Linked DNA regions of Caenorhabditis elegans. The protein of the gene in region 2 interacts with the protein of the main gene of each other region in a pairwise test. Each region holds a gene or a part of one and is shown on either strand. Other genes may lie near its edges.

Region 1 (4,494 bases), on a different chromosome or scaffold from region 2:
CAACTGTTAGAGCATGTCCCAAATGCAGTTTACCAGTTACGTTTGGCGGGGGTAAAACCATACGAAATAGACTGCCTGAAAAATATTTTTTTGCCTAGAACTATTATCAAGGAAATCTGACCATTCTTTCGATAATTTGCAGCGGCAAACTCTGTTCTTTGTTCAAAATTTTGTGTTACCTCGTCGATGTTAAAGGAGCTGAAAAAATTAGTTATTTTATTTTCTTAGTTTATCGTTTACCTACTACTTTCACGTGTAATAATTGTCGGTGAGTAAGCACATTGCCTTCTTGAACGATGAAAAAGTGCTAATCGATTCAATTTACCCATTTATTTCACCTGAAACCACAAACAATAATTTAAAAGAAAGAATGCGCTCAATCTGTTGAAAAATTAACGCTCGTCTGGACGAAGCAAATGCGCCCTGTCGCGAAACTAATTGGAGGGAAGATTAAAAAATATTTTTTTGTCAAACGAAACATTTCAGAAATTATTTTGCAATTCTATAATTGAAAATCAGATATCTTCGTGAAAAAACGTTATTTCCAGATGGTCTTCAAAAACATTGATTGACATTCGATAAAGTTTATTGATTGTTAGTGTGGGGAGAGGATACGAGCAATTTATATTTGGAGGGAATTGAAAATACATGCAATGATATCCGATATAATAAAATGCAGCAAAATAATTCAAGTTTAGTTTCAGAGCCTGCGAGAGATGGGGGGAGCGAGCGTGCTTTCTATATGACAGGAACATTGAGCTTATTATATTTACAAATTGCGCGCGTTATTATAGTTAGTATGGGACATAAAAACGTATGGCAATTTGACAAAATGTATAAATAGATGGGGAAGGAGGTGGTTATTCACCACAATTCAAGGTGCTTGGCAATGTCCATGGCAAGTTGATCAAGTCCAGGAATTGGAAGAGTTGTCTCGTTTCCAATCATCGGATTGTTGATAGACTTCAGAAGAATAGACTGAGCAGACTCCGAGTTGGCTTGGCAGGCAGCATCTGCAGCAGCAGAAGCAGCTGTGAGTGGAGACGAATCACTATCTTGAGACGGAGTTGATCCAGAGGAAGAATATCCCGAAACTCCTCCCGGTGTTGATTGTTTTCCAAGCATAGAGTATTGCATGTTCCCGGCTGCTCCAATAAGCATAGACTCAAACGGACTGATTGGACGAGTTGCCATATTCAGACTATCCAATGCGAAGAAAGTTGATGGATCCAACGGCCAGCTTGATGGTGGGCGATTCCCGGCTTCTGTAAAATTATTTTGAATTAATCATCAATATTCAATTTTCATACCCTCAGTCTCAAGTGGCTTCTTCGATGGCAACTCGTATCGTGGTCCACGAATGCTAACTGGGGTTGGACCCAATGGCATATTTGCTGCTGGCTCATCTGGTGTGCATGGCCTTGCAAACATATCAAATTGTTGAGGGCCGGCTGTAGAACGACCTCCATTCATGATATGATGCTCCATTTGATCGCGAAGGTCGGCCAAAGCATGACGTTGCGAAACCTGTTGAAGATTTGATTAAAGTGGAAAATTAAAAAGTTATCTTACCTCGAACAATTTATCGGCTCGAATGTATGCATTTGGTCCATTGTCCGGATGAATGAAAAGACAGCGTTTTCCATATGGGCACAACCCAGTAGTAGTGTACTTATCGCAGAGCTTCGTCCGGTACTTATTGTTTTGACGTGCCTCGATCCTGTAAAATATGTTGTGTAATCTTAATTCAATGTTCAAACCAACAGAGATGGACGAAGCTCCTCTTCGCCGTGAGCAAAACGACAGTTCTCCGCGAAAGCACATGTCTTCGACTCCAACCAAGCCTGACATATGACAGTCTTGTACGATTCCGGTTTTTGCATTCGGTGACGGCGTCTTGGATCAGCATGATATTGCAGTGGGAGAATAGCTTCCTGTGGAAGATTTTGAAGAGCTCTCATTTGCATCGAATGAATATGCTCGTTTCTGAGAAGATAAAATTTAAGAAACAGTCCATTTATCCTATAGAATTACTCAGCAATCTCCTTGAGAAGCTGCTCCTTGACAGCCATCAGGTTAGCGGTCTCGGAAAGCAAATCGTCGATATGAGAAATCGGTTTTTGCTGTTCTTCCGGAACAGTCTCCATCATATCGGGATGCGATGGTTCAACACTCGACTCTGTACGAGCCCTTAAAAAAGAAAATTAAAATTGAGAAACTATGATAAAAGTGGCTCACTCATTATTCTGGATAACATTTTCCTTGAGCATATCCATTATTTCGTTAGTAGTGCAGGGGAAATGGGTGGTTAGTGATTAGGCGTGGGGTGCTCGGTTAATTGATTCCCTGAAATTTAAAGAAATTTTAAAAATGGTAAGATTCCGCGAGCAATGAATAACAACCGTCTAAAGAATGAAAGAAATAAGTTTTTAACGAGAAAAAACGAATGCGCCAAAACGGTATAAAATTATTGTTTTAAGCGACGTAATTCAGAAATAAGCTCTTTTAAAATTCAAATAAACGGGCCAAAATCCTTCTGAATGAAATAAATGAATGAACAGAACCAAATGTTGTTGAACAAAAGAAAACTGAAGAAAACCATCTCTGTCCCAAAATTTCGAAACAAAAAGTCAATGTTTGGCGGCAATGCGCGCTAAATAAGATCAAATAATTATTTTTTAATACTTAAGTTTAGAATTAAGTCTGAAATTTATGGTTGAATCAAAGTCAAAAAACTTGCAAGAAAATGTTGCCAATTTTCACCAATGACTACGGTCACACTCGTTTGAGATGTGCACTCCCCGCTGCTGCGCCTTTAAAGGTTACTGTAACTAATAATTTTTTTTTAGCAAGCATGGAAATTGTGTAATTGTCTGAAAAAGTAACTCATAAACAGCGAATAACTAGATTTTCTCGACTAAAAAATTTTCAACAACACTGTCTGACCAAAATCTAGCTGTAAAAGAACATTACTTTGCAAATATACTTGCTGGAAGGTATTCGAATTTTTATTCAATATTTACATGTATATTTGATTTATTGTAAGTTCATTGTATTCCTATTAAAATCACTTGTGCATTCCATAATTTGACGCCTGGGAATAAACATTTTGGTCGAAAACTAGCGGTGTTCCATTGGACTCAACAACATCCATCAACTTTGACTTTTTTGCTTTTTCCAAGAAGAAACTGTTTGTTGTGTCGATGAACTTGCATGGACGCATTCCATTTCTAAAATATTATCATTTTTCCACAGTCCTTTGTCAAAAAATCACTCACTCAATAGCCATTTTAGCAGCTCCAATCTCCAACTTCTCTCCAAGATTTTTACCACGATGCCCCTAAAAACAGATTTGAAAATATTCAATTTGAAAATAGTAAAACTCACATCAAAGACATGCAAATGAGCAAGTGCTCCGTGAGTTTCTGAAGAAATGAATCCAACAAGTTCGTCGCCTTTACGAACGCAGAGCGATGGGAACCGTCGAAGTTTTTCTCTGAAAAAAATTCCTATTTTTCCATGTAACTGTTGTTTTACGATTTCTCGATTTTGTGAGAAAATGATATAAATCTAGTACTGTTGGTTTTTAATTTCCTGATCCAAAAACTCACTCTACTAATTTTGCATTTGGTGTGATAGATGATCCTACAATCTTCATAACATCATTTGTTGATTCAGGTATATCAATTGAGTATCCATCAGGTAATGTTGTATCACCATAATTTCTATATTTGAAAATTTGACTTTCATTCATTGCAAAAAAGTGTGTTGATTTGTTTTGCACCTCTGCATTAATATTGTTTTTCTTCATGTACTTTTCAATCTAAAATCAAACGTTTCTTATCTATTAACCTTTGTTCTGTTTTCATTGTGTATTACCGCTTTAGTGTAACATTTCTCGGCTACAGTTGATGGAGCATTGGAGCCAGCAAACAATCCATTTGTTTTACAGAATTCATCAAAAACCGCCAGAAAGTCTTCTTCTCGAAACTTTCCATCGTGTGTCAGAATTTGACGGTCTCTGAAAAGGTGCGAAGGTCAATTTCGAATTGAAAAAAAGAGATAGCAAAAGGTGGGAAAAGGTCTTTAGTGATACTGAAAAATGTTTTTGAAAATGAAGAAAAACTGGTTTAGGAATGGATTGTCATGGAAATGTTTGATCTTATCAAATATTACGGTCGAATCGGAAAAACATGAGTGAAGATACGGAAAAATGTAGTCAGCCATGGACATTTAAAACGGAATTCACTTTTTTTTCAAAGTGAACAAAGTTTAGGGTCGCGTGTACCTACTTATAAAGTAATTGTCCCATGTATTGAAAGTTCATGTTTTTGTAGTTTGAAACGGGAGGAAATGGCAAAGTTGTTGGCAAGTCAAATACATTCTCTACATTGAAAATTTCAAGTTGCTTTCTAACCTTACTTATCTAGGTTTATGCGGGCATATATACAAACTTCGTACAGTAACTCGTTCGTTTTCGAAAATTTTTGGGTT
Region 2 (3,814 bases):
AGCTTTCTATCTTCCAGTATATCTTGTTCTTTCAATTGTTCTGTGTGCTTCAAAATTCATGCTTTATCCGCTTTTTTCCTGTTCTTTTCTTTCTCTGTTTGCCGTTACCATCATCAACATCATAAGTCATCATCGAATCAACACAATCTCCTATCCATTTTTTTGTAAAATTAACACAATGATCAGAAAAACAATTCTCGCTTCCTTCTAGCTCTTTCTCTCTCCACATCCCACTATGTGCTCTCTACTTCATGTCTTCATCATGTTCCCCTCAAGCCCAGCAAATCTTAATTTTTCCTTATTTTCCATTATCTATTTTTCCTCATGAATCCCAGTTTTAAAAACAAGTAGCAGATTTTTTTTTGTTCTGAAACAATTCGCAAAAATTCCACAAAAAGTCCTTAAAAACAAACGAGTTCGTATTATAAAACTGTAACCTACCTTTTCCCAAAGTTGTTGTATTTCATTTTAATTATTTTAGAATGTGATTTTTCTACAATTCCCTTTTCATGATTCATCCTTTTTCTAGATTTAGTTATTGTCTCCCTTTACCATTTTTCTCGTTTTTGTCCATTAAATATGTTCATGATTAAATTTCAATGTCCGTATCTTTACAGAAGGTTTATGAATTTTTCAAAGTTACGAATTGTCAAAGAAACCAGAAAATCACAAAAAAGATTCAATTGAAAAAATAAAGAATTATTTACTGTCCAGTGTCCTTACGAGCTGTTGCACGGAACGCTCGTTCTTTTTCAAACTGGCGATTATCAGCTCGGTTTAAGAAGTCCATTTTGTTCAGATAACCGCCTTTCCCTCGGTTATGAGATTCCAAATCTTCCTGAAAAACAAACAATTTATTCAAAAACCTTAAACTTAAAGAAACATACTTTTAAATTATTTTGCGTCGTAAAATCTTTCCAATCTCGATCAGATTTCTCCAAAACAGAAATTTTAGAACGCTTCGACAGTGATTTTGCAGCATCAAGCAAGCCGACTCTTTTCTTTCCGGGTACAATGCTACTTTCAGACGATGTTCCAGCTGTTTCCGTTCTGAAAAAAATTATTAGAAAAATAAGAAAAAGTTGTTTTTAAATTTGTATCAAATAAAAACTCATGTCAACTCACTTTTTCGGATAAACCTTCTGATTTGTAGACTCGTTGGATGCAGATCTGTAAAATACATTTTTAAAAGTTATTTCTACTTGTTTCAAACATACGCTGCTGATTTTGGATACACCCTTTCTTCAGTTTTTGGAATATTCTTGCTTGATGTATCGTTGACAACTGGTTTCGGTGCTAGCCCAGTTAATTCTGCAAATATCGCATCCACATCAACACTTCCTTCAGTACTGTTTGCCTTTTCTGATGTATGGTCGTCACTTTGTTTTTCATTTTTCAGATGTTCAACTTCTTCGTCAATTCCATCTTCGCATTCTTCTTGATCATCGATCTGTTGAGGAGAATGAGCAATAAAAGGGCGATATCTAGGAATGCTTACTTCATCCTTTGGATCAAAATCGGTATCCTTTGTTGGATCGTAATCTTCATCGGACGATGAGTTGTAGTCTTCTTCGTTATTTTTAAGCTCCGAGGTCATTTTTCTGAAACAATTTATATTTTAAATAGTTTCACAATTTCAGTGAGAATTCAAAAGAATAAAATATGAATTAATATATTTATAAAATATGAATTAATTTATATTATAATATTATCTCAAAAAAAGTAGCGCGAGATAATTTTTCTTATTGAAGTACGCAATTGTGCGTGGTATTCAGTGTAAAATTCGACGGAGCGCACATGCTTTATGATGACTTAGCCGCCATTTTTGCATTTCATTGTCGAAATTCACTTCCTTTCATTTTTTCAAAGCACTCCCTTCAAAAACTTCATTTATATTGTTTCAGAACCAAAATGAATGCTCACGACGAAGTCCAGCGCACACTGTAAGTCATTAAACCTATATTCGTTTGAATTAACTCAATTTTTCAGGAATCCTACTTGTACCGGAACATCGGTTATCGCTCTCCAGTATAAAACTGGGGTTGTTGTCCTTACTGATCGAGTTGTTTCCTATGGAAAAATGGCTCGTTACAAGGTTTGAATTTCCGTTCAGCTGAAAGTGGATTTTCATAATATTTGTTTCCAGAATGTTTCTCGTCAATACAAGGTCAATGATAATGTTCTCATTGCCTTCGGAGGAGATCACGCTGACTTCCACTGGCTTCAAAATGTGATCGAGCGTCAGGTTCTTCTCTGGAAGCGCTTCGATCAGGATATTGGACCAAAAGCTCTCCACGGATACCTCACAAGCCTTCTCTACGCCAAGTCTGTTTTCCTAATTAAATTGAAAGTTTAAGTAAAAAATTTCAGACGTTGCAAGATGAACCCAGTGTGGAACACACTTGTTGTCGCCGGAGTCGAAGAGGAGGAGAAGAACAACAAGGAGACTAGCACACCTTTCATCGGTGTCATTACTCAGAAGGTAAACTTGAAAGCGTTAACTTGCCGGATCAGAATCTCATGATTAAATAATCACATAATAATTATTCTAAATTTCAGGGATGCGCATATCAAGTGAAGCACATTGCAACTGGACTTGGAGCGTTCCTCCTCAACCAAGCTGTTGAAGATGAGTGGAGAAAGAAGGGAGAAGACCTCTCCCGTGAAGAGGCAGAAGCCGTGCTTCGCAAATCGCTTGAACTTACTCTCTACCACGACTGCGTCGCTGACAATGAGTTCGAAATCGGACGTGTTGATGCGACAGAAGGTGTCGTTTTGGGTAAAGAAGAGAAGATTATTGGTGACTGGTCGATTGCCGAGACTAACTGTCAATATGAATAAGTTTTCCCCGGTGTGCAGGATGCGTTTCAGTATCTCCATGTTTAACTTATTTGTATCCTTCTTTTCAAAACATTTTACTCTCTCCAACCCACGTTTTCGGTGTAAATTTTATTTATTTTCGCGTGAAGTCGATAAATAAACTTCCATTTAATCCTTCTATTCACGTCTAAGTATTCACACGCATCATTTCACAAGTGCTCGAGTCAAAAATAGCGAGCATGAATTTCTCTGGTTTAAAAAGTATGATGAGTTTTTGGTTTAAAGTAAAATCGAGCGCTTTCAGGTAAACTCCAAAAGCTCAGTTTATCACCATCGCCTGATAAACAGAAATCTGATTATGAAAAGAAACAGGCGAAGAAGATGAGCTACAAAAAGAAGATGCAGCAGCGGTATAAACTGAGTGATGATCAGTATGAAACTCACAAGTAATTAAATAAATTGATGTATATGTAATAACTTATCTGATTTGGTTTCCAGGAAGGATGCTCAGAAACAACTGAAAAATTGGGAAGAATTTCGAAAGGAGCAAGTAGTTGAAATCTTTCATACGCAGTCTCAATACGTTTCGAAATCGAAAAATTCAGACGTGGTAAGCATACAGTATATATATATATATATCTCGCCGCGCAAAGGAAGTGCTTAATTACGGTTTTTACTATCCATCTAAAAAGTTAAAAAGAAATACATTATTTCTTGAAATTCAGCGCCATCCAAAGATGCAACGAGCCAATACGGTTGTCAATCGTCAAGGAGTGAAAGTTGATGTAGAATTTGGACGATTGAAAGAATACTACTTATCCACTTTGGCTCCACAAAAAAAGTTTGTGTCGATTCGTGATCACGTAACATAGAGATTATAGAGAAATTTACTTTAACCATGAACTTTAGGCAGCTCGTGAAAAGGAACTGGACGCTCTTCGTAAGAAACAGAAAATCAGTTTGGAGCAAAGGAAAGATAAACAGGACAACATAA

The links.
Region 1: the proteins of F39H11.1 (region 2) and oma-2 interact in a two-hybrid assay, tested with the Caenorhabditis elegans proteins (2 studies listed by BioGRID).

Annotation. Positions count from the first base shown.
Region 1 is NC_003283.11:8,027,291-8,031,784, reverse strand, and holds oma-2 (CCCH-type zinc finger protein oma-2), read right to left. Parts: upstream 2,347-4,494; 5' UTR 2,277-2,346; coding exon 2,239-2,276; intron 2,191-2,238; coding exon 2,035-2,190; intron 1,987-2,034; coding exon 1,765-1,986; intron 1,721-1,764; coding exon 1,573-1,720; intron 1,528-1,572; coding exon 1,311-1,527; intron 1,266-1,310; coding exon 865-1,265; 3' UTR 571-864; downstream 1-570. Other genes in the region: vars-1 (valine--tRNA ligase), read right to left, coding at 1-75, 122-198, 241-329; F43H9.4 (Glycine N-acyltransferase-like protein), read right to left, coding at 3,068-3,230, 3,279-3,340, 3,388-3,496, 3,612-3,823, 3,880-4,021. UniProt on the Caenorhabditis elegans protein: Zinc-finger RNA-binding protein that binds to 5'-UA[AU]-3' motifs in the 3'-UTR of maternal mRNAs to suppress translation in oocytes and embryos.
Region 2 is NC_003279.8:8,694,390-8,698,203, reverse strand, and holds F39H11.1 (Craniofacial development protein 1), read right to left. Parts: upstream 1,602-3,814; 5' UTR 1,598-1,601; coding exon 1,499-1,597; intron 1,451-1,498; coding exon 1,218-1,450; intron 1,171-1,217; coding exon 1,126-1,170; intron 1,051-1,125; coding exon 888-1,050; intron 839-887; coding exon 704-838; 3' UTR 608-703; downstream 1-607. Other genes in the region: pbs-7 (Proteasome subunit beta), read left to right, coding at 1,912-1,943, 1,990-2,095, 2,147-2,325, 2,371-2,482, 2,560-2,841; K07A12.5 (Pre-mRNA-splicing factor SYF2), read left to right, coding at 3,060-3,081, 3,125-3,266, 3,319-3,430, 3,546-3,683, 3,730-3,814.